6 linked regions of the Kluyveromyces lactis genome follow. The protein of the gene in region 2 interacts with the protein of the main gene of each other region in a pairwise test. Links are inferred from orthologs where the notes say so. Each region holds a gene or a part of one and is shown on either strand. Other genes may lie near its edges. The genes, in order: UTP22, ENP1, UTP21, NOP1, IMP4 and NOP14.

Evidence for each region.
Region 1: the proteins of ENP1 (region 2) and UTP22 interact in binary tests that used the Saccharomyces cerevisiae proteins (3 or more experiments, as listed by UniProt). The link is inferred for Kluyveromyces lactis from reciprocal best matches to the Saccharomyces cerevisiae genes ENP1 and UTP22.
Region 3: the proteins of ENP1 (region 2) and UTP21 interact in binary tests that used the Saccharomyces cerevisiae proteins (3 or more experiments, as listed by UniProt). The link is inferred for Kluyveromyces lactis from reciprocal best matches to the Saccharomyces cerevisiae genes ENP1 and UTP21.
Region 4: the proteins of ENP1 (region 2) and NOP1 interact in binary tests that used the Saccharomyces cerevisiae proteins (3 or more experiments, as listed by UniProt). The link is inferred for Kluyveromyces lactis from reciprocal best matches to the Saccharomyces cerevisiae genes ENP1 and NOP1.
Region 5: the proteins of ENP1 (region 2) and IMP4 interact in binary tests that used the Saccharomyces cerevisiae proteins (3 or more experiments, as listed by UniProt). The link is inferred for Kluyveromyces lactis from reciprocal best matches to the Saccharomyces cerevisiae genes ENP1 and IMP4.
Region 6: the proteins of ENP1 (region 2) and NOP14 interact in binary tests that used the Saccharomyces cerevisiae proteins (3 or more experiments, as listed by UniProt). The link is inferred for Kluyveromyces lactis from reciprocal best matches to the Saccharomyces cerevisiae genes ENP1 and NOP14.

Annotation. Positions count from the first base shown.
Region 1 is NC_006040.1:1,245,877-1,251,415, forward strand, and holds the start of UTP22 (rRNA-processing protein UTP22), read left to right. Parts: upstream 1-2,114; coding exon 2,115-5,539. Other genes in the region: KLLA0_D14762g (uncharacterized protein), read right to left, coding at 869-1,273. UniProt on the Saccharomyces cerevisiae protein: Involved in nucleolar processing of pre-18S ribosomal RNA and ribosome assembly.
Region 2 is NC_006042.1:637,042-641,535, forward strand, and holds ENP1 (snoRNA-binding rRNA-processing protein ENP1), read left to right. Parts: upstream 1-1,569; coding exon 1,570-3,006; downstream 3,007-4,494. Other genes in the region: SRM1 (Ran guanyl-nucleotide exchange factor), read right to left, coding at 1-902; SNAP receptor USE1, read right to left, coding at 3,220-4,002. UniProt on the Saccharomyces cerevisiae protein: Required for normal export of the pre-40S particles from the nucleus to the cytoplasm.
Region 3 is NC_006038.1:251,730-257,247, reverse strand, and holds the start of UTP21 (rRNA-processing protein UTP21), read right to left. Parts: upstream 2,802-5,518; coding exon 1-2,801. Other genes in the region: inositol polyphosphate kinase VIP1, read left to right, coding at 3,344-5,518. UniProt on the Saccharomyces cerevisiae protein: Involved in nucleolar processing of pre-18S ribosomal RNA and ribosome assembly.
Region 4 is NC_006039.1:398,917-403,343, forward strand, and holds NOP1 (rRNA methyltransferase NOP1), read left to right. Parts: upstream 1-2,504; coding exon 2,505-3,512; downstream 3,513-4,427. Other genes in the region: serine/threonine protein kinase CDC7, read left to right, coding at 1-410; trans-2-enoyl-CoA reductase (NADPH) TSC13, read right to left, coding at 715-1,674; SUMO-targeted ubiquitin ligase complex subunit SLX5, read left to right, coding at 4,341-4,427.
Region 5 is NC_006041.1:700,176-704,369, reverse strand, and holds IMP4 (snoRNA-binding rRNA-processing protein IMP4), read left to right. Parts: upstream 1-2,325; coding exon 2,326-3,177; downstream 3,178-4,194. Other genes in the region: MKS1 (Mks1p), read left to right, coding at 1-1,884; KLLA0_E07811g (uncharacterized protein), read right to left, coding at 3,744-4,194. UniProt on the Saccharomyces cerevisiae protein: Required for the early cleavages at sites A0, A1 and A2 during 18S ribosomal pre-RNA processing.
Region 6 is NC_006039.1:1,426,171-1,431,800, forward strand, and holds NOP14 (snoRNA-binding rRNA-processing protein NOP14), read left to right. Parts: upstream 1-1,580; coding exon 1,581-4,094; downstream 4,095-5,630. Other genes in the region: proteasome regulatory particle lid subunit RPN5, read right to left, coding at 1-1,024; autophagy protein ATG9, read right to left, coding at 4,136-5,630. UniProt on the Saccharomyces cerevisiae protein: Involved in nucleolar processing of pre-18S ribosomal RNA. Has a role in the nuclear export of 40S pre-ribosomal subunit to the cytoplasm.

The sequences.
Region 1 (5,539 bases), on a different chromosome or scaffold from region 2:
TTTTGTTAGGAACCAACGCTACTGGTATTCCTGAAGCTAGCATGATGCTTTTGTCTTCCTTGAGATAAAAGCTTTTATGGTCAATGTTGCCTAAGGAGAACTGGATCCTCTCCGGCTGAATTATTATCGTCTGAAGATGTGTTCTTCTTAATGTAATTTGTCTTACCTTTCTTCTCGATTACATCATATTTTTATTGTAGTTCTTACCTGACTTTTTGTGCCTATTAGTACCATTGGAATCCTTGTTCCAATTGGTTCTGGAATTTCTTGGGTTTTCTTCCCTTATCTTCTTCGCTTAGATTCGCACGTTTTGACTTTACAGAGTTTCTAGATTCAAGACTCACCAAACTCAGTGCTGATGGTATGTCTAGTTTATTGTTTTTAGACAGTTCTTGGTTTACCATATATGATCTATCTGCAATAGCTTCCACTGTCATTTCAGTTAAACACTGTAACAGTGAATCTATATCACGGTATTTCTCACGTACATGGAATTTGTGATACATCTTAGTACGTTCTAACCATAATGTTTGTAGGTTTGGTGAAGTCTTATCTTTTTGCAGGTGCCTGACAGCTTCTTTCCATATGTCTATATTTTTATTCAACCTATCATAATCATTTAATAGATTGTATACTGCACTTTCAGGATTAAATCCCATGCCATAAGGTGCCATTTGAACCCATTCTGGACAGCATTCCTTCGGGACACATTCTTCCCAGAAGAAAACAATTGAATTTGATAATTCGTCGTTGTCAATTATATTTATGGACCAGTCATTGCTTTTGTTCGGGATAAAACTCTCTAGTCCCGCTAGTCTCAATTGTCCAATTAAACAGTAAACCCATCTGTTAAATTGGTCCTTTGACTTCACTTGTTGTAGATGAACAGACGTCTTGTCTTGGAACCTGGAAAAGTCATCAAAGCTTTATATTCGCTGTCACACGAGTTGTTATTCTTCTTGGAATAACTAAACAACAGACTGCTTCGATATCTGTATTCCCTATCAAACACTTCGTAAGTACTTCCTCCAAATATCTCTCTCTCGGGATCTAAGTCTGAGTATGGGTTAACATTTTTATCCTCTTTTAAACTCTGTTTAGGAGCACTACCATCACTAACGATATCGAGTCTTTGTATATCTTCACAGATACCTCTTGTCGGATCATTACTTCCTTGCGGAGACTCAGTGACGCTGCCATGTAGGTGATCCTGGTTGTCGCAGTCACAGTCACGTGTAATTAATTCAAAACCTTCGGTATCAGATGAATCCATAGTGTTTACTAGCTATATATAGCTAGTGTGTTGATGCACCTGGCGATCTGTCATGACTGTGTTGATGGTCTTTCCCCAGATCTATGGCCTCTTTATATAATAACTCAGATTGGTTAATGATGTTTCATGTTGATACTTGACCGTCTATTGTTTCTAATCCGTCTCAACAGATAACCCGCCGAATGATCTAAAAAATCTGTAAAATTTGTAATAGATTTCGTGCCTCCTTAGCTTAGTGGTAGAGCGTTGCACTTGTAATGCAAAGGTCGCTAGTTCAATTCTGGCAGGTGGCATTCATCTTTTTCAATATCCAATCTGACCTTCCTCGAATCTATTTTTTTTTTCTTAAAGTAACATTGTGCACTAAAACTAGCAATACGGTACGTCTAAAACCATGTATTCCCTATATTACTACATATCGGGATAGTACCAGTTCCAGCACTTGAGTTGGACTTGGCTTTAGTCCAGTATGACTCTATGTATCTGACTATCTAACTGATTATTCAGAGAGACTGAGATTGGACACGTCGTATAAAGTGACAGACGCATCAAAATCCTTCACATCGAATTTTGGAAAAATTTGCCAGGCGATGAGCTTTAAAGGTTTAAAGAATTCGCATTTACATAGAATGAACGTACCCATAGGCAGGTTTATCACAGTGATTTTGTTTGGATTTCCCTCGTATTAGTTTGCTAGATATTAAAAGGGTAATTCTCTTCTGTTTTGGCTAGGGGAAATTGAAACCCTAGGACTCGGGCACTGGCTATCATTCTGTATTATAATCAATCCAGAGGCGCAAACGGTCAGGAACTAGTGAATTAAGTGGATATTTAGTGAACTATGGCCTCTGTGAAACGTGTAGCACCAGATGGTGAGAAGTCCAGGAATGGTAGTTTCACCAAGAAGGCGCTTGTAAAAGCTATTACTGGCTCACAGGCTGAAAATGACAGTGACAAGACTGGTTCTTCTTCTTCTGGAGAAGAAGAAGAAGAAAGAGAGGAAGAGGCTACTGCCTCTTCCAGCGGGGAAGAAGACGAGGAAGAGGAAAACACACATGACCATAAGGCTAAGAAGCCAAAGTTGAGCTCCCAGGATATACAAATAGCGAGAGAAACGGCTGAACTCTTCAAATCGAACATTTTCAAATTACAAATCGATGAGTTATTGGAACAAGTGAAGTTGAAGGACTCACACATCGTAAGGGTGGAGAAGTTTTTGCATAAACTATATGATATGATACAGGAAGTACCGGAATGGACTCCGCAAAGCTTAGAAGATGTAGAGAAATATTTCCATGGGAAAGTGGTATCAGTTCCGTTTGTGGATCCAAAACCACAAGCGAAGAACACACAGTACAAATTCAATTATTTAAAGCCGGACGTGAGTTTAATTGGATCATTCGGGTTGAAGACTGCCATCTACCAACCTCAGGGCTCCGCAGTAGACGTTTTGTTGACTATGCCTGAGCAGTTGTTCGAAAAGAAAGATTTCTTGAATTTTAGATGTTTCCACAAGCGTTCAGTATACCTCGCGTATTTGACTCATCATATCTCACTCGTCCTGAAAAGAAGCCAGCTGGATTTCTTACACTTGGAATATTCATACTTTAACAACGATCCTTTACAAACGGTATTAAAGATAAGTTGTAAGGAGAAAACTTCATCGGACTATAATTTCTACAAGACTAAATTCAGCATAAACTTGATCGTGGGGTTCCCATACAATTTCTTCGAATCAAAGAAGTTGCTACCCAATAAGAACTGTATCAGAGTCGGTCAGGATAACGAAACTCCGACACCTTTCTACAATTTCTCGGTATTATCATCTTCTTGTCACGAACACTATTTGAAGTACTTACACAAATCAAAGAAACAAACAGAACAGTTTAAACAGGCTTGTATTTTGGGGAAGCTATGGTTATCTCAGAGAGGCTTCTCATCAAATATGTCTCATTCAGATGCGTTGGGTGGTTTTGGAAATTTCGAGTTTGCCACGTTGATGGCAGCCCTACTAAATGGTGGTGGGTTGAATGGTAACAGAATTTTATTGCATGGGTTCTCATCTTACCAATTATTCAAAGGTGTAATCAAATATTTGGCCACAATGGATCTTTGTACTGATGGGTACTTACAATTCTATTCCGACTATAGCACTACTGCAACTGTCACTTCCTCAAAATACGTTGAAGAAGGTTTCCAAACACCTACAATCTTTGATAAAACCACCAAAGTTAACATACTGAGTAAAATGTCTGTTAACAGCTATCAAATGCTAAAGATCTACGCGCAAGAAAGTTTATTGATGTTGAATGACGTCGTCAGAGATCAGTTCGAAAACATGTTCTTAACTAACTTAAACAAGATCAAGACAGTGAAATATGATGCTTACTATGATTTAGATATCCCATCCATCAATTTACTACTGTCCAAGTTCGGTCCCGTTGAAAAGATTAGCTTTATATCATTCGAAAATTTCATCTGCAATAAAGTATCGAACATCGTGAAGATTGCCCTTGAGGATAGAATCAAAGCTTTTGAAGTGGCTCTAGTTAACAATAGATCTACTTTCCCAGTAACAAAGAGAAAAGTTGCTGCTGTTCCAAATTTCACTTCAATCCAAATTAAACTGTTGATCAACCCTGCAGAATGTGAGAAGCTTGTGACTAAGGGCCCAGAGAACACAGAAGAATTAACTAATGAAGCTAATGAATTCAAGATTTTTTGGGGTAAAAAAGCATCTCTTCGTAGATTCAAGGACGGTTCCATTGCAAACTGCTGTGTCTGGTCAACTTCTGCTATTGAAAGTGTTGTTTCTTCGATTTTGTCCTATGTTCTAAGGCTACATTTGACTGAAGACTGCAAACTCATCAATAATTCCACTAGCCAATTCCAACAGTTGTTACCACTACCGAACCTACCTGCATCTTCAAAGACATCAGTTCTAAACCTATCAAGCTACTATAACTTGAAGAAGTCCTTTGACGATTTGTATAAAATCATGTTCGAGCTAAAACTCCCATTATCAATTAAATCTCTTTTACCTATTGGTTCTGCATTCAGGTACACATCATTATGTCAGCCTGTCCCATACGCATATTCTAATCCTGATTTCTTACAAGACGTTGTTATCGAATTCGAAACGTCTACAAAATGGCCTGACGAAATTACTTCGTTGGAAAAGGCTAAAGCTGCATTTTTATTGAAGATTCAAGAATCCATCACGCAGACTCATAGTGAGTACAAGTGCTACTTTACACGTGATGAATCGATTCCATACAACTTGGAAATAGTTACTCTAAACATTTTGACTCCAGAAGGATACGGTTTCAAGTTTAGAGTTCTAACTGAGAGAGACGAAGTTATGTATTTGAGAGCAATTAACAACGCAAGAAAAGAACTAAGACCAGAGCTGGAAAAGACATTCTTGAAATTTACTGCCAAGTACCAAGCTGCTATTAGACATACTAGAACTTTGGAAAACATTTCCCATAGTTACCCATTCTACTCTCCAGTGGTAAGACTATTTAAGAAATGGCTAGATTCTCATCTCTTATATGGCCATTTGTCAGAAGAATTGATTGAGCTTATTGCCATTAAGCCATTTGTAGAGCCACGTCCATTCACCATGCCAGGTTCCGTTGAAAATGGTTTCTTGAAGATCTTATTATTCCTCGCAAACTGGAATTGGAGGGAGGATCCACTAATATTAGATCTTGTCAAACCAGACGAATTTGGTGACCAAGAAACCAGTATCGGAGCATCAGATCTAGATTCATCTGTTTTAAAGAGACTCTCAGAAAAGTTGACTTTTGCACAATTCAAAACCATTCAAAATAACTTCCAACAACTAAGAAAGGAAGACCCACAAGGTTTACACACCCAATTCTTCGTTGCATCCAAGAACGATCCAAGTGGAATCTTGTACTCTACTGGAGTTCCTCTACCGATTGCCACCAGATTAACTGCTTTGGCAAAAGTAGCCATCAATCTAATCCAATCCCATGGATTGAACAAACAAACCATCGAATTACTATTCACACCTGCATTAAAGGATTACGATTTCGTCATCAAGCTCAAGATTCCTGTCCCATTGAAACTATCCAGTGGCATAGTCAACGCTAACGAGTTTAAGAATTTAAACGAACAGTTGACAGAATTCCCCAAAGATCTTGATACAATGAGCACCAAAATGGATCCAACTTACCAACTAGTGAAATACTTGAACATGAAGTACAAAAACAGTATTATATTCTCCAATCATCGCCA
Region 2 (4,494 bases):
AATTGATTAAGACCCCACGAGTACAGTTTACCGTCCGTGGAAAGGGCAAATGAATGATTTTCACCCGATGAAATATACTTTATGTTATCCAACCCAAATGGTCTTGGATCTAAAGTTCTCAAACGAGAACGTTCCAAAATTCTTCTACCTAATTGTTGCTGTTGACCATTACCCCAGGCGTAAACAATACCAGTTTCATCCAAGAACAATATATGATCTTTCCCAGCAGCCATTTGAACAATCTTGGCTTTCTTGGAGAAGTTAGGGATTATCCAAGGGGTTTTCTGGACGGTAATCTCATCTCTGTAGAAACCTAAAATACCTTCGTTACAACGGAAGGTACCCCAAGCGTAAACGTCACCATTTTCAAATAGAGCAGCAGATAGATTGTCTGTGGCAGCAATCTGTACACATCTTAATTCGTCCAATGGTAAAGAGTCTCTAGGAATTTTAGTTGGAGTGGATTCAATTTCGTTGAGGTCACCATCTTCATCATCATCACTATCATTTGCATCCATATCTTTCAATTTTTCTACAGCTCCGCTAGTGTCTCTACCCAAAGCACCTGAGTCGTTAGTCCCCCACGACCAGATGTTATTGTCAGCGTCTAGCGCTAGGGTGTGCATTCCACCTGCAGCAAAAGACACAATTTTAGCCTCATCACGGGGCAAAAGGGGATTGAGTCTAGGTCTCTTAACTTCTTTGTTTTTAGCTAGAGGACCCAAGCCTAGTTCACACATTGATCCAGTTCCCCATACAAAAATGTCAAGTGGAACAACAGATCTATACAAATGTTTATAATCATCTTGAGAATTGATGCTAACAAACTTATGATTCAAAGTAGAGTGTAAATGCTTCCTTTTAACTGGAGTGTTCGCTACACTAGAAGATCTTTTAGACATGATTTCTTCAGTAACTGGTGGTCAATTAAAAGATTAATTGGAAGGGCCTAGTCTAATGTTAATTGTAACTTTGCTAAGATTGCAAGGAACGAAAAAAACGGAAATGAACACTTGGTTTTTGATCAATCGATAAGTACAACTCAAGGGAGAAGCTTGAGTGAACAAGAGACCAGCAATGTGTCACCACGCATATGAGATCACATTACACTTGATCCATTGTTAATTATATATACGTAAAACGAATCTAAGCTGCAGTTGAAAAATCTTTCCAGATTTTAAAGTCACGTGCAAAACAAACAACATTCTTTGCCTGTAATCATTAGAAGAACATAGCTCTTGGCTGTTTACAGTAGCTTGAATTTGTGTTCAACGCTGTGGCATATCTGTTTCAATCACGACGATCCCGCTGCCAATGCTCCAGAGTTATTTAATTGAACCTTTGACTTCTCTAAACAGAGTATCTCTAGCCTTTCTTTTTCTGTCCGTGCATTGACTGAAAATTTTTGGGATTTGAATAAGTAACGATGAGATGAGAAGCGATGAGATGAGATGAGATGAGATGAGATGAGGTAAATGGCAGATAACAATCACAAAATTACTCATTAGTGTCTGCTTTAGTGCTCAGAATACGACTAGTGATACAAGATTTATTTGTTCTACGGAGAAAATGGGTAAAGTAATGGGTGGCAGCGGTCGTAAACAGAGACACGATCCTTTATTGAACGATCTTGACTCTCAACATGGTAAGTTGAAAAGACAAGGTAAGAAAAAGATCGATGCTAAGGATCAAAAAGGCCATGAAGATGAAGAATTTGTCGATGCCCAGCAATCTAGAAAAATTTTGCAATTAGCTAGGGAACAGCAGGAAGAATTAGAGGAAGAGGACGAGCAGTCTCTGCAGACATCCAGCCAAGGAATAAACAGATTCTGTGTGGCCAACTATGCGGATGAAGATGATGTAGCTGAGGAAGAGGAAGCTCAAGGTAATAACATATCTGACTTTGAACCGGAAGATGAAGACGATTTCGAAGGATACGAGGAGGAAGAAGTGGTAGAAATTGACGAAGAAGATGCTGAAATGTTTGACCAATATTTCAAGACTTCTGCTGATTTCAACTCTGCCAATGGATCATATAACCTTGCCGATAAGATTATGGCTTCTATTAGAGAAAAAGAGATGGAACTACAGTATAATGAAGAAGAAGCAGGTGATGCCTCTGCAGTAGCGGAACCAGCTGCACCTGTAGATCGTACAGAAGGTGTCGCCTTACCACCCAAGGTGATTCAAGCATACCTTGCCGTTGGTACCATTATGCAGACCTGGAGACATGGTAAACTACCCAAACTATTCAAAGTTTTGCCTTCTCTAAATAACTGGCAAGATGTTCTCTATGTTACTAATCCAGAGGAATGGTCTCCGCATGCTATATACGAAGGTACTAAACTTTTTGTTTCTAACTTATCATCTAAAGAGGCCCAAAAATTCGTTATAGCTGTGTTGTTACCACGCTTCAGAGAAGAAATTGAATTTAACGAAGATCACAACTTAAATTACCATGTCTACCGTGCATTAAAGAAATCATTGTATAAACCGGCTGCCTTTTTCAAAGGGTTCTTATTCCCACTTGTGGAATCCGGTTGTAATGTTAGAGAAGCTACCATTGCTGCAAGTGTGTTATCCAAGGTCTCTGTGCCAGCTCTTCATTCTGCTGCAGCATTGTCCTACCTTTTAAGATTACCTTTTTCCCCAGCCACCACCGTTTTCATCAAAATTCTACTCGAGAAGAAGTATGCTTTGCCTTATCAAACTGTTGACGAATGTGTCTTCTACTTCATGAGATTCAGAGAAGTCACTGATGGAAGTACAGGCCAAGATGCCGTCAGAGTCTTACCTGTGGTATGGCATAAAGCTTTCTTAGCGTTTGCTCAACGTTATAAGAATGATATTACCCAAGATCAAAGAGATTTCCTACTTGAAACTGTTCGTCAAAGAGGTCACAAAGAAATTGGACCTGAAATCAGAAGAGAATTATTAGCCGGTGATAGTAGAGAATTTGTCAGTGATGTTGGTAATAAAGCTGATTTAATGTTTGATGTTCTGTAGTCAATAGTCCTATAACAATATAAGTGCCTGTCAATTTTAAACAAGTGTATAATATGCAATTATAGATAAGACAATCAATAGAATCAATCTATTCGATAAGTGGAAACGGTATCAATTAATTTCATCGAATATTCATGAGTCTATTTTGTACTTTGAAGCTTTTGAGTGAAGCAGAGCCTTTATCTAAATCTTGGAGATTTTAGCGGAAGACACTCATAAATCTGGAAATACTTTTATTACAAGATAGGTGACCAATAGACCAATTATAATAAACGATAAAAGTCCTAACTTCATTAAAAATCCAATTTTTTCATTGTGATACTTTTTCAATCTGGATCCGAGTGAAGAAAGGCTCTTAGAAGTAACATGCAATCCGATTTCTGCTGCCTTAAGAACAGTAGAGTCGTGTTCGATAGCATTCTGGAAAGCTTCCGCACCTTGTCTTAAGCCTGAAACTAGCTGGGACATGTCTTCAACCAGTTCCTTCTGAAGATCATCCTGAATTTGCATTTGTTTGTCAAATGATTCACCCTCCGTATCAGCGCTGTCCCTTCTTTTACCCATAAGCCTTTGGCGGAGCTCCTTCAAAGAATCGTTGTCATTAATTGCTTCAACATTGGATATTATATCAACATCGTCCTCATCTCCTATAGGCACGTCGGGCGTTGCATCGAAATCAACACTATATCGCCTTTTCTTTTGAGATTCCTGATATGCATCATATTTCTGTTGCAACTTAGAAGCTTTGGAGAAACTGATAGAGCTAACCGATTCCTCTAGTCTGCTAAAGTTTTTCTGGTATCTATCAATAGCATCAGAAGACGGATCATCCAAGTTATCCTTTATAGCCAGTTTTCTCACGGTATTTAAGTTTGTGGCCAGTTTTGTAGATATAAGATAATGGTAAAAAGGGTCTTCGTCATCTTGAAAGAGCGAAAGGTCCCTGTAATAATTTTTGCGTAGTTGATCACTTAATGTGTCTAAATCTGTCGTCATATTCCGTCAGTTAATGTCCTTTAACGAGGCGCTATCCCTTTTTATTTGTGATTGGAATTGTACTAAGTATTATTTTAAAGGCTATATTACATTTTGTTTTATGTCACTAAAATATTATCCCAAACCTCAATCAAAGAAATAACAGAGCTGTCTGAATGAAAGTCATTCACTCTGAAGCATGACCCTTGCCAACCCTTACAAAAGCGCATGTAAGAAAGAGTGGACCGAGTGCTACTTAATGTATCTACCGATGGTAAGTATAACATAAGGCTGAACTTGGTTAACTATTGCTAAATCTTATTGATATACAAATTCATACGACTCTCATAATATTTCAGAGGAAACTACTGAACCAATTAAATGGGTAATATTTCCGCCCACCTACTATCAAACTACAAACTGTAGGAATTCAGTTGTTGTTAGCGAAAAGGGCGTTAAATGGGAGTATCCCAGCTCTGGGCATCTTGAGCTTACTTCTACATGCGTGGAATA
Region 3 (5,518 bases), on a different chromosome or scaffold from region 2:
ACGCTGCCGCAGAATTTTACCAATTCATCCAATGATTGGCCCTTGCGGTGATTGGTATCCCAATGTTGCAGAGCAGTCTTGATATTTTGATTTGTGTTATTAGAATGAATTACATCACCATGCACTCTGAATAAGATGGTAATATATGCCTCATATAACTCAAAGTTCTTGTTGGTAGCCAAACCTTGAGCCAAACTTTCAATGAACCGACATAGCTCATCAAATGGTTGAAAAGCTTTCAAAGAACGAATCTCCAAATCAATATTTGAGGGAGTCATCTGGACTAATTCGTCAAGGAATGCTGAATAATCGTTTTTCTGCGAACCTTCTCTAAGTAGCTTAGTGAAATCAGATTCGAACTGAGCACCAAGTTTTCCTGAAGGTTTGAATTTATTCAGTTCACTAGCAGCATTAGCTTTGGCAGCATTTCGCTCCTGTTGTAGTTTAGAGGAATCCAAACTCAAATTCTCAGCGCCTTCCCTGGCTGAAGCCTCATCGCCCACCTTATCTTTTGCAAGTTGTAAGAAGAATGGAGCCTGCTCTGGTTTAACTGGAGCCTCCTTTGGTTTCGAACGTTGTTTAATTATATCGAGATTGAGTAAGATATTCATCTTGTTCCTTGGTCCCAAAGAAAGAGTCAATAAATCTTTATCAATTTGCTCCATCGAGTCATATTTACCAAAGAGATCTTCGGAATCATCTTCCTCTGTATCAAAAGCCCCTTCCAAAAAGTTGGAACCACCATCTCCGGAAACGTTTGGAAGCATAACAGTGGCAAATTCTTCTTCGTCGATCTGTCTGGTTGATACTGAAATGAACTGAGCTCTATTAGCCCAGAGGGAAATACCATTACCAGATACACTAGTGGTAGCCAATAAGTCACCATTTGGTGAGAATTTAATGTTAGTGATGACATTTTCCACTTTCATACCGTCTATACATCCACCTGTTGGTAAATCCCAGGTTCTAATTGTGGAATCTAATGACGAAGAAACGATCCAACGTCCATCAGGTGAGAAGTCAAATGATGAAATTCTATTGGAATGCCCCCAGAGTTGACGGACCACTTTTTGAGTAACCGAATCTACGACAACAATGGAAAGGTCATCTAATGCTAATGCGAAGAGGTCAGATGATCGATGGTATACCATTGATGTTATAGGTGAATCCAACTTTAACTTTCCCAAAAAAGTGCTTTTGGAAAAGTCATAAAATCCGACAATACCATCTAACCCACATGACACCATCTTTCTGTTCATACCATCCATTGCAATACCAGTAACTGCCTTCTTATGTAAACGATAAACCTTTCTCTTCTGTCCACTTTGTAAGTTGTGAACACTAATACCACCGTTTGAAGAGCCAACTAAACCAAAGTTACCACATTGTGATATAGCTACGCTCTTCGCAAACCCCTCATCATTAGTTGGGATTGTCCACCTACCAACTCTTTTTGTTCTCGAGTTCCATGTTCTTGCAAACTTTTCCCCTTTATGAACCGTCAAGATGTTTTCCCATTGGCCTTGTCTGTTATTTTCGATGACTATTGATGTAATCTCAGGGAACTTCTCACCAATGGTGCTTCCACCAATCCTATTTCCATCTTTATTCTTATGCAGACGCTGCGATAATTCCTGCGATTGTGCATCTTTTCTTAAGGAAAACCCCCATAAAGATCTATCTTTTGAAGCAGAAAGAATGAAATGAGATTGATCGTCAGCAAATGCAATAGAGGATGGAGGTTGAGAGTGACCACCTCTTGACCTTAATAATCTGGCTGGTTGAATGACCACTTCAGAGTCACCTTGCGATAAGGATGGATCGAAAACAAACTCTTTTAACTGGTTGTCACCACCACAAGTGACAACGATCGGCTGACCGTTCAAGAATGATGCTCTTGCAACACCACCATTCACTTCCTTGTGAATGCCTTTTAACACTTGAACACGTGAGCGATGATCTAAGTCATAAAAGATCAAATCACCACTGGTTGATGCTACTGAGATATGAGAAGCACCATCCGTTCTGAAAGAGATTGAAGAAATTCTCGTCGGCGTTTTAATGGTTCTGATTTTCTTACCCTTACGCAAATTGAATAAAATAACTTCACCAGATGATGTACCAAAGGCAACGATGTCTAAAGCAGGTGCAGGTTCAGCAGTGGTGATCTCATCGGGGAACTCATCGGAAGTGTACAATTGTTTTCCGGTCCGAACGTTAAACAAGGTGAAATTAGACTTAGTCACAACGAGCAACTTGTTAACATATGTTGGTAAATGCACCAAATCAACAATATCACCACCTTGTAACTTACCAATGGTGAAATTGGTGTATAATTCAGTAGCGAATTTATCAGATGGGGAATTTTTCTTATAGATATAAACAACATTATTATCTGTAGAAGCAATCAAATATTCACCGAAAACGTTAATTTTGGTCACCACGGTATTTGGATCAGGTAATTCAATCAAATGTTCTAGCTTACCTCTCTTATAGATCCCAACTTTATTCTTAAAACTTGCATAAACGTAATGAAAATGCGCTGCCAAACAAGTAATGTCTCCCTCTGTCTCCTTATCTGAAACGAATAGCAGATGCAAATTATTGGCATCAAAGATCTGAAACGACTTACCAACAGAAGTCACAATGTAGAAGGTCGTACCTAGGGTACCAATCGCATAAGGAACTCCAGTAGATACATTACCTACAATTCTATACGGAGAAAATATTCTGGAAGCATGTTTCCTAACAGCGCCGGAAGAACCAACTCTTCGTTTCTTTAACGATCCATCCACTGTCATGATTGCTAATGCACTGTTCTGTGACTTTATGCAATCGCTTAATTAACTGAACAACAAGCGAATCCAGTAATTAGCTGCTGACGATAGGTATCTATCTCATCTCATCTCATCTCATCGCTTCTTTAAAACGTCGAGCTTCGAAATTTTCATCGCTGAAACAGAAAAAGAAATCAGAATATCACGTGACACATAAGGGGGATCAACCTGCAAATGTGATTCTTAGACTTGGATAGAGAAGATACTATGTAACTTCACCATTAGATGCCATTAGATAGTAACCATACCACAGTCTGAAATCTCACTAGCGAAACACATGGAGGTGTTGCTTAGATACTGGTCTTTACTTCAGAATTACTCACAGTTTTCTATCAAGTTTTCACTATTATCCTTCACATATAAATTTATATACAAAATTAAACACATGGGGAATAATCGTACCATGCATCCGCTTATAACAGAAATCGATTAATTGCAACGATCTACAAAATAATTTTAACTGAAGTTTCAGCATTGGTTATAATCAAATTGCAGAACTGCCAGTCATGTCTTCTCCAGGTTCAATTTCTGATGAGGGTCAAGAGGCAATCAACGGAAATACCATGCCTCCACTGTTTTTAGATTCGAATACGAAAAAGGCTATGGAATCGATCGCTCCTATCCTTGAAGGGTTCACGCCGAAGACCTCTTCTAGTGAGAATAAGTCGTTGAAGTTGCCACCTGCTGGTTTTACCTCTGATGATGATGATGAGACAAATAAGCTCGTCAGAACGCTTAGTATTTCTTCTACTGGTTCGACAGGTCGTCATATGACTCCCAGTGTCCTAGGCACCTCATTCGATAGCATGAATGGTAACAAGCTTCAAAGACTGAAAAGTAACCAAAGTGGATCAGCATCAGTTTCTGCTATTCTGGAAGGATCGCCTAGTCCATCTCCTATGCTGGAAGAACCTCATGCATTCCCCTTCATTCCGCAAGCATTAGTCTCTAATGAAGCTGTCACAACCAACACTGACGGATCAACAACTCCAAGTTCGACAAATTCTTCGAGGAAAGCTTCAACTTCCTCGTCCAAGCCTCAGCTACCAAAGATTGGTAAAATTGGTGTTTGTGCCATGGATGCGAAAGTGTTATCCAAGCCATGCAGACATATCTTAAACAGACTAATTGAACACGGTGAGTTTGAGACTATAATTTTTGGCGATAAAGTTATATTGGATGAAAGCATTGAAAACTGGCCTACTTGCGACTTTCTAATATCATTCTTTTCCAATGGGTTCCCTCTAGAAAAGGCTATCAAATATGTCAAGTTAAGAAAACCATATATCATTAATGATTTGATTATGCAAAAAGTATTGTGGGATAGAAGGTTGTGTCTCAGGTTGCTGGCGGCAAGCAACGTACCTACCCCTCCTAGATTGGAAATTACAAGAGATGGTGGTCCCAAAATTGATGATGAACTGAAATCTATGCTTGCCGAACGTGGAGTTATTGTTTCAACTGTTCAAGAACCCAACTGGAGAATGGTGGACGATGACACCTTGGAAGTTGAGGGTAAGGTGATGACCAAACCATTCGTTGAAAAACCTGTGGATGGTGAAGATCACAATATATACATCTATTATCATTCGAAAAACGGAGGCGGTGGGCGTAGATTATTCAGAAAGGTCGGTAATAAATCTTCCGAATTTGACCCTACTTTGATTCAACCTCGTACTGAAGGTTCATACATCTACGAAAAATTCATGGATACCGATAATTTCGAAGATGTGAAAGCATACACTGTAGGTGAAACTTTTTGTCATGCTGAAACCAGAAAATCCCCTGTAGTCGATGGTATTGTGCGCAGAAACACTCACGGAAAGGAAATTAGATATATTACTGAACTTTCTCCAGAAGAAAAAGAAATGGCTCGTCAAGTGTCGAAGACGTTCGCTCAAATGATCTGTGGTTTCGATTTATTACGTGTTGAGGGCAAGAGTTATGTCATTGATGTTAATGGGTTTTCATTTGTCAAAGATAACACAGAATACTATGATGCCTGTGCCAAAATTTTGAGAGATACCTTCTACAACGCCAAAAAATTGATGGACCTAGAAAAGCGGAACCTTCCTGCAATTCAAGAGGAGAAAACTCAAAAATGGGTATTTAAGGGGCTAGTTACTGTTATCCGTCATGCAGACCGTACACCAAAACAGAAACTCAAGCACTCGTTTACCTCTCCGATATTTTTGTCTTTATTGAAAGGTCACAAAGAAGAAGTAGTCATAAGAAATATCAATGACTTGCAAATTGTTCTGCAAGCACTCAAAATTGCACAAGAGGAAAATGCTGAAGATCCAGCGAAACTTGCTGTCTTAGCAAACGCTTTGGAAAAAAAAATCAGTTTTCCTGGAACTAAGATTCAATTAAAACCAGTTCTGAACAAAGACAACGAAGTGGAGAAGGTTCAATTCATTCTCAAATGGGGTGGTGAGCCAACACACTCCGCTCATTTCCAAGCTGAAGAATTAGGTGAGCAGATGAGACAAGACTTTGATTTGTTAAACAAGAACATCTTGCACAACATCAAGATATTTTCTTCTTCCGAAAGGAGGGTTCTAGTTTCGGCCCAAATATGGGCCACAGCTCTATTCGGTGCGGATGAAATTAGTAGCGACGAGATCAGTATAAGAAAAGACTTGCTAGATGACTCCAATGCAGCTAAAGACCTTATGGAT
Region 4 (4,427 bases), on a different chromosome or scaffold from region 2:
GACTAGACATGACAAAGGTTCCAGGTTTCCATTCGGAAGGATATCCTGGGGGGCTACAAGGTTTTGTGAGAGCTTTACTTGACAAAGAAGTGGAGGAAGGAACATTACCAGAGTATTCCATAGCGTTCGAGACGTTGGATTATTTGACACAATTTGACAAACAACTCACGCCAAGTTTAGGCCCAGACGATGAAGAGGATATTGATGATAAAATACGGAGCTACAAACAAGCAGTTTGGGACGATCATTTTTGGTGTTTTGATCTCTTGGCAAAATGTTTCGAACTCAATTCATACAAAAGACCCAGCGCCAGTGATCTTCTTGAACATTTATGGTTCAAAGAACTGAACGAAGATTTACTTGATAGAGATCAAAGAAGAGAAGATCACTTCACCGGGGTCGTTGAGTAATGAAATCCAGAACGAAACAAAAATATTTGACGAAAATTAGCATATATTCACCGCAATAACTTAGAGCAGAACTCATTTTTTATATACATGCATTCATATATAGAGTTCTTTAACCGATAGAGTAATTTAATACTTTGCATTCATCATCATTATTATATTTAGTTTACAAACGTTGCCAACGCTTTGACGGCATAAGTTAGAGAACAAGTGCGTAAATAAACGAGTAAAACAGCGTTATTCACTTAAGAGAGAATGCTATAATACCCCAAGTCAAATATGTATGTGGTGATAGTAATTGGTGAATTCAGAACAAGAATGGGATCAAGAATGCTCTCTTGGTACCATATTTCTTGTTTTTCTTTTGAGCCCACAAGTACATCTGAACCACCGAGACAACAAGGAAAAGAACTGAGAATAAGTTCAACTTGAACAACAAAGTGAAAAACATCCAAGCCCAAGATTCAAAAGTGTAATTTGGAGCGACAAGTAGTTTGAACAACCCAGAATTCAATGGGACTCTCTTCGTGACACCGTTTCTCTTTTGTTCATCACCCCATCTACGCAATGCGACATGGATATAGAAATTGAACATCTCTGACAATCCAAACAAAGCGGTTAAGACTCTGAAATCAGATATCTTGAGAGCGCTGTAAACTCTGTATAAGGTCTTGTTAGCGAATGGGAACCCGTAACCAAAGTAACCCAACGAGATCAACCCGTTCAAGATCCAGTAATGGAAAGAGTTCTTGAACAAATTGAACAATGGCATGGTTTCCAGGGAGAAAGAATGAATGAACAATGTTTCGAATTCTCTCTTTAGATAATGGACCATAATCAGACGGTAGATGAACTTATTGAAGAAATCGTTATATGGAACATTTTTAGAATGAAATTTGTCCCTAACTGTTGCGTTTAAAGACAAAAGGTAAACTAAAGAATGGATCAAGATCGGACCCAAATATTCGATGAAAAACACCAGTCTCCAAGAGATCTGCGGACCCAAATCCTTAACATACCACTCGTTAACTGAATCGAACGTGTTTTTCTTACCAACATCGTTCAATTCAGAGGGCCCAATGGCGACTTGCTTACCTTCTTTCAGATAGCTTAACCTTAACCTGTTAACGCTAATATTGTGATTGCTTTTCGAAATCTGTTGCAAAACAGATTGATATGTCAACGTATTTTCTGTTGGAACTTCCAACTTGACGTCTTTTAAGCTCTTTGAGCGTGATTTAATAAAAATTGAACTGGATGCAGACATAAAGGGACACTTATCTAGGTAATATCTTCAACTGTCGGATTAAAATATACAGCGATAGTTTGGAAAATAGGATCTCAAAACTAAACCAGAAAATTTATCCAGATATACTAATTCAGATTCTGATTGCTATAACGTACAAAAGTCAAAGCTGGTTCCACTTCTCTGATTTTTTATCTGCTTTTATAAAGATACCGATATTCACAACAACAACCAAAAATGATCTCATCTGCATATTTTCGCAATGTTGACTATGAAAAACTTGTATAGAAATCCTTAGTAAACGTACGCATTGTAGCAAGTATCTGGCTCAACATAGCAAAAAAAAATCTTGAAAAGTTGTAGATTCATATGATTATATAATCAATTCATATCACGTGATACAGATGTGACAATAGTCATGTGACTTTAACGTTCATCGTTCTGTACGTACCAAGAGGCACAGAAAGACCAAAGATGAGAACTTTGAAAAAGAAATTTAATATTGTTTTTTCATTCAAAATTTTTCAGCTGAAAAAAAAAAGTTTCGAAAGCTCATCTCATCGAATGTAAAGTAAGAGTTTATTAAGTTGTTCTTGCTTGAAAGAAGTAATCAATTGTTTATAGAATAGTATTGTGTACGTTTTCTGTTCCTATAATCTACCCATTTTAGAAGAGTTTTACAGCCGTCCAGGATTCTGTTTCAAAGTCAACGACAATACCTGTTACTGATTCACAATTTTAATTCTTTTTTTTTCCTTTGTCCAATTTAGAGAGAAGAAGATCAAGAGCAGCAACAGCAGCATAATCATTATATCTCAAGACAGATAATTCCCAACTAGTTAAGAATAATAATGGCATTCCAAGCAGGTTCTAGAGGTGGCAGAGGCGGTTCCCGTGGTGGATTCGGCGGTGGTTCCAGAGGTGGTTCCAGAGGTGGATTTGGCGGTGGCCGTGGTGGATTCGGTGGTTCCCGTGGTGGTTCCAGAGGTGGATTCGGTGGTGGTCGTGGTGGTCCTCGTGGTGGCGCTCGCGGTGGTTCCAGAGGTGGATTTGGTGGTGCCCGTGGTGGTTCCAGAGGTGGTCCTCGTGGTGGTGCTCGTGGTGGTGCTCGTGGTGGTGCCCGTGGTGGTGCTAAGGTTGTTATCGAACCTCATAAGCATGCTGGTGTTTTTATTGCCAGAGGTAAAGAAGATCTTTTGGTCACAAAGAACATCGCTCCAGGTGAATCTGTGTACGGTGAAAAGAGAGTTTCAGTTGAAGAACCTTCCACTGAAGAAGGTGTCCCACCAACTAAGGTGGAATACCGTGTTTGGAATCCTTTCAGATCCAAATTGGCTGCCGGTATCATGGGTGGTTTGGATGAACTATTCATTGCTCCAGGTAAGAAGGTTCTATATCTAGGTGCTGCTTCCGGTACATCTGTGTCCCACGTTTCCGATGTCGTTGGTCCAGAAGGGTTGGTTTACGCTGTTGAGTTCTCTCACAGACCAGGTAGAGAATTGATCTCTATGGCTAAGAAGAGACCAAATGTTATCCCAATTATTGAAGATGCTAGACATCCACAAAAATACAGAATGCTTATCGGTATGGTTGACGCCGTCTTCGCAGATGTTGCTCAACCTGATCAAGCCCGTATTATTGCTTTGAACTCTCATATGTTCTTGAAGGATCAAGGTGGTGTCGTTATCTCTATCAAGGCTAACTGTATCGATTCTACTGTTGATGCTGAAACTGTGTTCGCTAGAGAAGTTCAAAAATTGAGAGAAGAAAAGATTAAGCCTTTGGAACAATTGACTTTGGAACCTTATGAAAGAGACCATTGTATCGTTATCGGTAAATACATGAGAAGTGGATTATAAGAGCTGCTAAAGAAATATTGATATTTTGAAACCAATGCTAGAGTATGCCTACTTGGTTCATGATTCCTTCTATTAATCTTTTTTTTTTGGCTTCTAATCTTTTTTTGCTTACTTTTTAGTTTTAAAAACCTTCATTCCAATACAATCATTAACACTATAATATTATTTGAAATTTTGCATCTCATTGATTCGTGATAAAGTTCTACAAACTAGAAAAGTCTCCACTTCGTCTTCACTTGTATTTTGTCACTCTGTGTGTTTCTTTTACTTACAGTCCAGGTCCTTCGCCTGTTCAAAGGAGATCGACTAACTGACGGGAAAAGAATAGAAGAAGATTTCAAAACCTTGTTCATCAACTTGACAATACAAAAGAACCCATTTTCACAATAACGGTATTAATACTCGAACACTCTTAACCTTATTTTGTACATTTAATTTGTAGATATATTATTATTATTATCACATACTATATATAACTTATATATATCAATAACAACCATACGTTCTAGAAAATCATGTCTGGTAGCAGTGAATTAAAGGATATAACCCCATACGGGTTACGATACCATAATACGGTCCATCTGTGCATCTGTTGACAAACTCTTTGTTTCTTTTATCTTTAATCGACATCAAATTGAGACAAAAGTAAAGAAAAGTTCTTGAAATTAATAATTATGATATTTAAGACAACAGTGGTTTTGATATTAAGAGTAAACCTTTGAAATAAGCTAAAAGTATACAAAGGTATCGGAAGAGTTCAGAGCCAGATCCTTAAAATAGGTATCTGGTACAGCTGGAACAGTAATTAGTAAGGTAGAAAGCCTTGTGATGACGGAGCAAGGGTGTGTTATAGAGATCGATAGTGATCCAGAGCTAGATGCTCAAATCAGGGAAGAATATGCACCAAGGCGATTG
Region 5 (4,194 bases), on a different chromosome or scaffold from region 2:
CAAAATCATACGTTTTTGAAAGTGAGTCCCGCTCTTTTCACGCAGGATAAACTGCCGTTGTTCGATTCTTTAGACTTATACACTTCGTTGATCAAATGTAGCAAATTCATGGAGCAAGGAGAACGGCTGCATAACCTTAGTTGGAGGATCATTAATAAGTCGTTGTTGAAAGATCAGAATATCAACAAGTCAAAGAGACGGGATGGTGTACGGAACCTATATCACGTTATTAATCCTATAAAGCAAACGCACTTATTCCCACAACTGCAGCAACAGCTGCAGAAACCAAAAGCTGTGACACCGGCGTCACCAAAGACTCCAACTACAATGGTAACTGCAGCTTCCACCTCGGCGACATCGTCCGGTTCATCATCTGCGCTGTTGACACCAATCTCTAGTGGGGCCTCGATACCGAAATCGACTGCTAATACGCATATTACGTCAACAAGACCTCATATCTCAATTTCGAAGAAACTGATATCACCTGTGTGTTCTTCACCTGAACCTCTACCGACGAAAATGGAGGTTCCATCAAGGTCCCAGGCAAACACCCCTGATCTACGGAAAGATTTGGCAAAGAAGAAATTCGCTATTTCTCCTGAATTGGTCAATGTACCGAAGAACCATCAACAACAATTACCTTTACCACCATCATCATCAGAACCCCCGGTGTCAAATCATGTGCCTTTATCGGAAACAAAGTCAAATGCTCACTCACAGACTTCTTTGTTCAGTAGAAACCCATCTAGTAAATCATTATTTGCGAAAAATCAACCTACTCCATTCACCCCGGCCAATGGATCTACTAATTCATCTGCCAATGGATCTGCTGAAAACCTCAAATCAAATGAGATGAATCATTCCTCGAGAACGTCATCAGTTGCCAACAATATCGCTCATACATCTAGTAATGGCACCAAATCTGGAACGTCTGGTACTATAAGTAATGCAGCGCATGTGCATGCCGGACAAGATCACAAGAATATGTTCTTTAGTAGTGAGGACGAAGAATCTGATTGGGACTCTCTTTCAGATGATAGTGAGATATACGATGAAGAAGAAGATAATGATCAATATTATGAAAACCAATGGGATAAGCTGATGTTCTCAAAGACACACCAAAACAATAATGTTCATCAAGTGCCTTCAAAAGAATCCGGAGAGAAGAAAAGTTTGTTGTCTGGTCTATTCATGCAAGAGAAACAAACCAAGTCACAAGTTGATCCAGAGGATAAAGCATACACTACAACCAATGAGGATTTGCTCAAAAGACCACTATATGTTTCTGAAGCAACATCTTCAGCAAAGGCTGTTGAGAAACCTGTCTTAAAGTCTTTGGATAAACAATCGGAAAAGCCTCTGAGAAAGAAGACCGATCAAAATTGCATATTACATCAGAATCCAACAGGAATTCAAATACCGCCTCAACCTGTTGCTCCAGAAACTACGGAAATAGTTGCTGTGGGCTCTGTGACACCATCAAGTTCGTGGCAGAACAAACCTCTTTTGGATCATCAAAAGCCAATTCCTGTCGCATTTGAGCGTTCCAGAAGACTCGGCTCTTTTAGTAGTATCGTAAGCGATACTACTAGAGAACGGTATTATCATGAATCGAATGCACCTCCGGCTGCTCAGACCATTTTACCTACTGCTCTTTCTACCCATATGTTTTTGCCTAATAACGTCCACCAACAAAGGATGGCATTACGTGGAGGAAGTCTTCAATCAGATTTTGATACTGAAATAGCCAAAAAGGTAGCATCGAGACGTGAATCGATGGATATCCCTTCCAAAAACAGAAACAATTTCTTCCTCAAGACTAGAATGGAAATCTCAGAAGAAGAAAGCTTCGCTAGAGCATATGGCAGATGTGTCAAGAAGTGAAGGTAATTTCCTTCATTTACTAAACATCATCCACGACAAATATTAATTACCTTTGATAGACTGTATAAAACCTCGTTTAATGACAACCAAGTAATTCTTTAATATGTCACCAATTACAGTGTCTGTTGTATGTAACCGATGTTACGATAATGCGTTTCTTAGCGTATTTGGCTTTATGGATTTGTATAAAGGTTTTGTCACGTGACCATTTGGTATTATTCTAATAATTATTTCTTTTTGAGGCTGAAATTTTTACATGAACGATGCGATGAGATGAGACGTTAGAGCTGAAGAACAACTTAGCTGGTTGGACATTTTTGTTTACGACGGACTAGTATCGTGTATATACGTACTGTAGTCACTATAAACAGGCATTATTATAGTATATTATCAGCTATTCGCTTTTTTGGTACTATACAAGCAACACATTATTGAAGTACGATGTTAAGAAGGCAAGCTCGTGAAAGAAGAGAATACTTGTACCGTAAAGCACAAGAGCTACAAGAATCTCAACTACAACAAAAGCGCCAAATCATAAAGCAAGCGTTAGCACAGGGGAAACCACTACCAAAGGAAATTGCTGAAGATGAGCAACTACAGAAAGATTTTCAATACGATGAAAGTGCTCAGGAACAGATAGATGATGAGTACAGCGCAACAAGCGGTATCGCAGAACCTAAGATTATTGTGACAACATCTAGAGACCCTAGTACTAGGTTATCACAGTTTGCAAAAGAAATCAAATTACTGTTCCCAACAGCGGTAAGATTAAACAGAGGTAATTACATTATGCCGAATCTTGTCGATGCCTGTCAAACATCAGGAACGTCAGATTTGGTTGTTCTTCATGAACATAGAGGTGTTCCTACATCACTAACGGTATCACATTTCCCACATGGTCCAACAGCATTTTTCACATTACACAACGTCGTTTTAAGACATGACATTTTAAATTCGGGGAATCAAAGTGAAGTAAATCCACATCTAATCTTCGATAATTTCACAACACCATTGGGTAAGAGAGTAGAGACGATTTTAAAGCACCTATTCCCACCTGGTCCAAAGAAAGATGCAGCAAGGGTGATAACGTTTGCAAACAGAGGAGATTTTATCAGCGTTAGGCAACATGTTTATGTGAAAACCAGAGAAGGTGTGGAGTTAGCAGAAGTGGGACCTAGGTTCGAGATGAGATTGTTCGAATTAAAATTAGGAACATTAGAAAATAAAGATGCTGACGTAGAATGGCAACTAAGAAGATTTGTTAGAACGGCTAGTAGAAAGGACTATTTATAATTATAGTAAGCATAATAAGACAATTCCATCATAATGTCCATAAAATCAAGCAAAGTATAACATTTTTGCTAGTGGAAAGAATTCTATCAAACGTATTTCGTTTTAACGACGGAAAGGGTATGTTGTTTGAGGAGATACAGGAAAATTAAACACAATTACATGATATTAGCAAACCCTGGAGCATGAAGCAACTGCGTTTCAGTCACTGTATTTATAGATAGGATAAAAAGAATCAGAAAGAGAAAAAGAAAACACCCGTAAGTAAATTAACATAAAAGAATAACAACCTTCTCATTTCGATATAAATAAAAATAGAATGTTAATTCAAAATAGAGTTATAACGATTGACTGTACCGAGGAGACGGTAAGGGAAAGAGTTGCTGAACGAGAGAAAAAATAAGGGAAGGGGAAGAAGATGTATCAAAGAAGAGACGGAAAAAATAAATGACCCGTTCTTGGCCAGAAAATTCAAGTGATTGCTTGAAAACAGATAAACGTAGCAATTTCCTTCTATTTAAAAGCGCGCTGAATGGCTCATGGATCATCCTTATTCTTTCTTTTTAATGTTAGATTTCGTTAGTCAACTTTTTCTTCACCACTTCGCTTGCCGTATTGGATTGAAGTTGCTCATCATAAAAAACATCATCCAGTATATGGGTATTCGCGCTTGACACGGAGCTTCTACTGAAGTTATTCGCGTACGGTGAAACTCCACTAGCATTGGAGTACGCTCTTGTCTTGTACGCTGGAGGAGAGAATTTTTTGTTAAAACCAGATCCCTGAGTAGAAGTACGTGATAAACGAAGTCCTTGAGGATTTACTGGTGGGGTGTTCAGTGTACCTGCACTAGATACATCATGATCTAAACCACGATGCTGTGTATTTCTGTTGTTGTTGTTGTTGTTGTTGTTGTTGTTGTTGTTGTTGTTGTTGTTGTTGTTGTTGCTGTTGCTGCTGTTGCTGTTACTGCGATGTTGGTCCGGATCTTCATCATCGGAACATTCACTTCCGCTGGAC
Region 6 (5,630 bases), on a different chromosome or scaffold from region 2:
TGATTCTCTTATGAAGATCTTCCCAGTGTGATTCATTAGACCCGAATGCAACGCCGTCCTGGTTCAAAATTTCTTTGTAGGTATCTTGTACTATTGGCCATCTCATTAGTTCTGCTGTGGTGAAGAGTTTTACCAAGGATTCTTGGGATGGCAATTTCTTTAGATTGTTGTCCAACTGAACCTTGTGAATGAGATCATTTTGTAGGTTATCATATGGCGATAGAATCAAGAAGTATACAACCCTGGATAGAGCTGCCTTCCATTGAATTTCATCTGCCTTCACAGAATCAGAGTTGTAGATTTCTTGGTAGTACTGAGCCACTTCTAAGTAATCTTTCTTATGCAAGCCAATCTTTACCAAAAGGTTATAATACTCTAATTTCAATGCTGCATACTTTTCATTCTTGAAAGTCTTCTTTAATATTTTTCTGGACAACACAGTGGCTTGAGAGTAATCACCTTTTAGGATACTTAATTCCATTTGTTCAAGGATAAATTCAATCTTTTCATACATCTCCATGGACCCATACGTTTCCACTTGCAATTCACATAACAAGTCAGTGGCCTCATCGATCTTGTTCTCAGATCTTCTGATATGAACCAAATCTCTAGTGACTCTAGCTCTTTCAACTTCCACGAAAATCTTGTTCTCAGTCACGGTTCTTATCGTCTCAATAGTTTTAATCTTGGTGTCCAAATCCTTCAGGTCTTCCAAATATTTCATCACAGACTGAATCATATACTGCACAGATAACTTCAATTGACCATGCTTTTTTGATAGAAGCATGATTTGGTCGTTAAGTAGGTCCCATTGGTCTGCTGCGACCAAAACATCTACGATCTTAGTCAAGACTCTTTTCGAAGATGCTAAATCAGAAGATTGTCTAGTCTTCTTTTCCAACACTAACAATTGATCCAAAGCACTGGAATAATCATTCTTGGCCAAAATCTCAAGCTTAGGAAATTCAGCGTCCAAGATTTCGGTATAATCTTTCTCTGCCTTAATTGGAGCGTCTCTGGACATATTTTACGATATAATTTATACTCTTTTCTCTTTGCTCTGCCTGCTCAACTTAAACCGAAATGCAATACAATCAATTTCTCTGTATCCGTCCTGTATTCAAACCACACAAACTTACAGTCTCAGAACCGACACTGTAACCTGCTGTACCTCTGTTCGCGGTTATTTCGTATATATTTGCCACCTGTAACTGATTTCCTTTATTTCTCATAATGCCTTTAAAATGACAAGCTACGGTAAAAGCTTCCTCAGTAACAGTAACAATCGAATCTTAGAAAAACGTGACTTCATCATCGTTCGTAATGATTGTGCTGGATATTCGGGTAACCTTGATTTGATTTTATTGTGCGGGTAACTATTTTCTTTCTTTTCGGTGAAAAAGCATTAAAAGTTTGACAGAAGATGAATTGAGCGATGAGATGAGATGAGATGGGATTAAATCAAAGGCTGTCAGAAGGTTCAGTATCTTGGCCGATTGTATTGAATTGACTTGCATCATCAGTTGTGTTTAGACCATTCTTCTTGTCTGTGGGCAAATAGGTTACAAAGTCGAATAATAATGGGTGGTTCACAGTTGAAGAACTTGAAGGCCGCTTTAAAGGCTAATGGGTTGACTGGTCAGACCAATGTCAAGAAGAGTTCTAAGAAGAAGGGCAAATCTCCCAGGGAGTTTGATAGAGAAGAAAGACAGAAGACTATTGAAAGAATTAGGGAACAGTTTAATCCGTTTGATGTGAAAACAAATCGTAATAAAAAGGTTGGTGTGATGAGGGAATCTGCAGCTAAACTTGCAGTAGGTAAGCCGGGAATCACTAAACAAGCCGGTGAAGATCAACGTAAAATGTTCTACGAAGCCAAGAAGTCCAGCAAGAACAGAAGCGGTGGTGTCTTAGATAAACGTTTTGGTGAAAAGGATAAGAATTTGACTTCCGAGGAGATCATGTTGGAACGTTTCACAAAGGAAAGACAACGTCAATCTTCGACGAAAAGATCGTTATTCAATTTAGACGATAGCGATGGTGGTGAGGATGAAAACGTGTACGGTGAAAAGTTGACTCATTATGGTAAGTCTCTTTCCTTGGAAGATGATTTCGATGAAGGTGATTTGGGGTTACAGCATTCTGATTCGGAGGACTTCAGGTTGAAACAAGCTGGTAAAAGAAATATGGCGGATCAATACGGAGATGAAGGGTTAGGTGATGACGCTTTGCAAGAGCCAGCAAGAAAGAAGACTAAGGCAGAAGTCATGCAAGAGGTCATTGCTAAATCCAAATTTTACAAACATGAAAGACAAAAGGCGCAGGAGAAATTGGTCCAAGATATCGAAGGCCTTGATGACGATTTCGAAAGCATTATGTCTGAATTAAGGACGTTACCAAAGACTAAACCTTCTCAAACTGAGATTTCGACCTCCACAGACATCGCTCCAGATTATGATATCAAGGTGAAAGAGTTAGTCTTGGAGAAAAGAGCTGCCCCTGCAGATAGAACTAAAACAGATGAAGAGATTAAGAAAGAATATGAGGACAAACAAAAGGAATTGGAGCAGAAAAGGCTTGATCGTATGAACGGTATTTTCAACATTGAAGATCAAAAAGATGCTGGTGTTGAAGATTTGGGAGAAGAGTTTTGGGAAGATAGCGACTCTGAGGAGGGCGAATATGGTGAATATATCAAAGCAATTCCTGACTCGGATGACGACGTTGATTTCGAGAAGGATAACAATGATGACAATGAATACGACGCTACATCAAATGGTAGACCTTCAGCAAGAGTTATACCTTCTGTTCCATGTCCTCAAATTCACGATGACTTACTAAATTTCTTGAAATCTTATCCTATCGAAGAGCATCCATCTTTAGTTAAAAGAATAGTAAAAACATACCAACCAAAATTGGCTGAGGGAAACAAAGAAAAATTGGGCAAATTCACTGCTGTTTTGCTCAGACATATACTTTTCTTGGCTGAAGAAGATTACTCGGTTAATGTGAAAGAAATTGCATCATTACAAAACGAACTAGTAAGCATTCTAAAGACTCTTTCAGAAAAGTTTACCATTCCACTATCAGAGGATTGTAGAAATATCATCTCAGATATTCAGACTAGATTCAAAGAATCCCAGTTCTATGGACTATCTCCATCAGATTTGGTATTTTTCTCTGTTGTTGGTATGTTGTTCTCCACTTCGGATCACTATCATTTAGTCATTACTCCCTGTCTGCTTCTAATTGCAGAGTTTTTGGAACAAATTAGGTTCAATTCTCTTCAAAAATTAATATTTGGTTCGATACTGGTTAGAATCGCCATCCAGTATCAACGTATAAGCAAGCGTTATATTCCTGAGTTAACATACTTCTTGCAGACATCTTTGCGTTCTCTAATACCGAGTACCAAAGGGGAAACATTAGAAAACAAAGAAAAACAGGAGGACAATTTATCAATAGTAGGCTCGGATATTAACTGGTCCAAGGTCGCCCCTTCTTTAGAATTACACTCATTATTTTCCGAGGATCTAGAAAAGCAAGAATCTATCAAACTGTCCGTGCTGGTCAACAATCTAGAATCAATTGATTGGTGCATAACGAACATCTGGAAAGATCTTACTGCCTTCCCAGAAATCATTAATCCCTTCAAAGACATACTAAACGTGGCTGCCGAAGTATATCCTGGTACTTCTAAACCAAAACAATTAGTGGAAAAGATCGAAAAGCTATTGAAATTCCAAGAACGTCTGCCATTGACGTTGCAACAGCATAAACCACTGGCGATTCCATCAAATACGCCTAAATTCGAAGAGAACTTCAACCCAGATAAGAAGTCGTATGATCCAGATAAGACCAGAAGTGAGTTGAACAAGATGAAGGCGCAATTGAAGAAGGAACGTAAGTTCACTATGAAAGAAATACGTAAAGACACTAGATTCGAGGCAAGACAAGGCATTGAAGAAAAGAAGAAGGAGTACGCCGATTACCATTCCAAGATGGCACGTATTGTCAATCAAATCAGTACTGAAGAAGGTGCTGAGAAAAACAAATATGAGCGTGAAAAGAAGCTCCGTAATACCAAACGTTAACTGCATATTATATAATCTATACTCAACATTAATAAACTTTATCATCGATTGCGATCTGATTTTTTGTAATATTGGTTTAATAGGCCCATAACACCATTTCCCGCCTTCAGTTCGTCAGCATTATCAGCAATATCATCCTTAAAAAGGGTAGATTTGTTGATAAGTGAACCACTCAATGAGCCTAATTCAAGGTCCGAACTACGATCCGGGAATCTCTTCACCCTTGATCGATTAAGATTTCTCTTACGATTGGAGTTTTTACCTAAGGCAAATTGTGTCTTCCAGGAATAGTCTTTAGTAGAGCTGTATGGGTGATAAGATGGCTCGATTGGAGAAGCTGGTAGCTGATTTTTGCCCACTGCATTGCCTGCATTCTTGTAATCGTCAACGAAGTACATATATGACTGAAGCATTTTGTTAACACCCTCATCCGATTCGGTTTCACTATCATCCTGTTCTGCTTGGGAAAACATTCTCTTAGTTTGTTTTTTGGCCTTGGTACCTTTGTCAATTTTAGTAGCTTCAAACATTGCGTACTTACACACGTATCCCAACCCCTCCTCATAGACGGTACATTCTCTAAAAAAATCTATTATTCTTTCTGAATTCTTTGGCAGGGAGAACCATAATATGAAGGGAGTGATTATAATGCTGACTAGTTCCCTTAGTAATAATGTGATTCTCAAGTTGTAAAGCCTACAAAACTCATTTTTGATGTCCTCTGTATGATATTTCCCCTTCCATTCCTTTGGAGCGTAGTGTGTATACGACACAAGTTCCTCCAGTGTTTCCTCTGGTTTGAGAACCGTATACTCATCGTTGATAGAACTGTGACAAACTGCCCATAAAGTACCAAAAACAGTCATGTAAAATAAAACAGTTCTGTCAGGTGTAATTTCGAAGTTTAAGAAATTGTCTGGATCAAATATTGTCAGAATACCCAAGATTGCCACAAAAGAACCGGAAACAAACTGTATAAAGCTTAAGGTCAAGCTTAATAATGTATTGGGAAATTGATTGACATAATTGTCCGCTATTATCATGCTCAATCTCATTCTTTTTTGGAAAATATGATATAATTCATTGTATTCCCTAAATTTCCATTCAGCAATAGGAGTATATTGCCGAGAACCTATTGATCCTGGGGAGGTTTTGTACTCATTAAAATATCTGAAGAAGTTCAATAGAACAAAGTATGTTACTAAGAATGGGGATAAGATAATGTTCAAGAATCCAGCAAGAACAAACCTCTTCTTTAACTCCTCTCCCAGGTATTCTCTCTGGCTTTCTCTTAAGAAAGCTTGCTTTAAATAGCCCTTCTCATTGAATGCAAAACCTAAAATACAAAGATTTATGTTCCATTCGAGCGTCTTGGTAAGAGCACATGTTCTTAGTAGAGGTACTGGTAGGGATAAGTCAAGAATATTGTTATCATATAGTGCAATGACAAAATTCTCTTTGCGCATAATTCGATTAGCCACGTCATGCGCACTCAACCTGTTTTTTGCTTTGACTTCGGTAGCATTTGCTGTGATC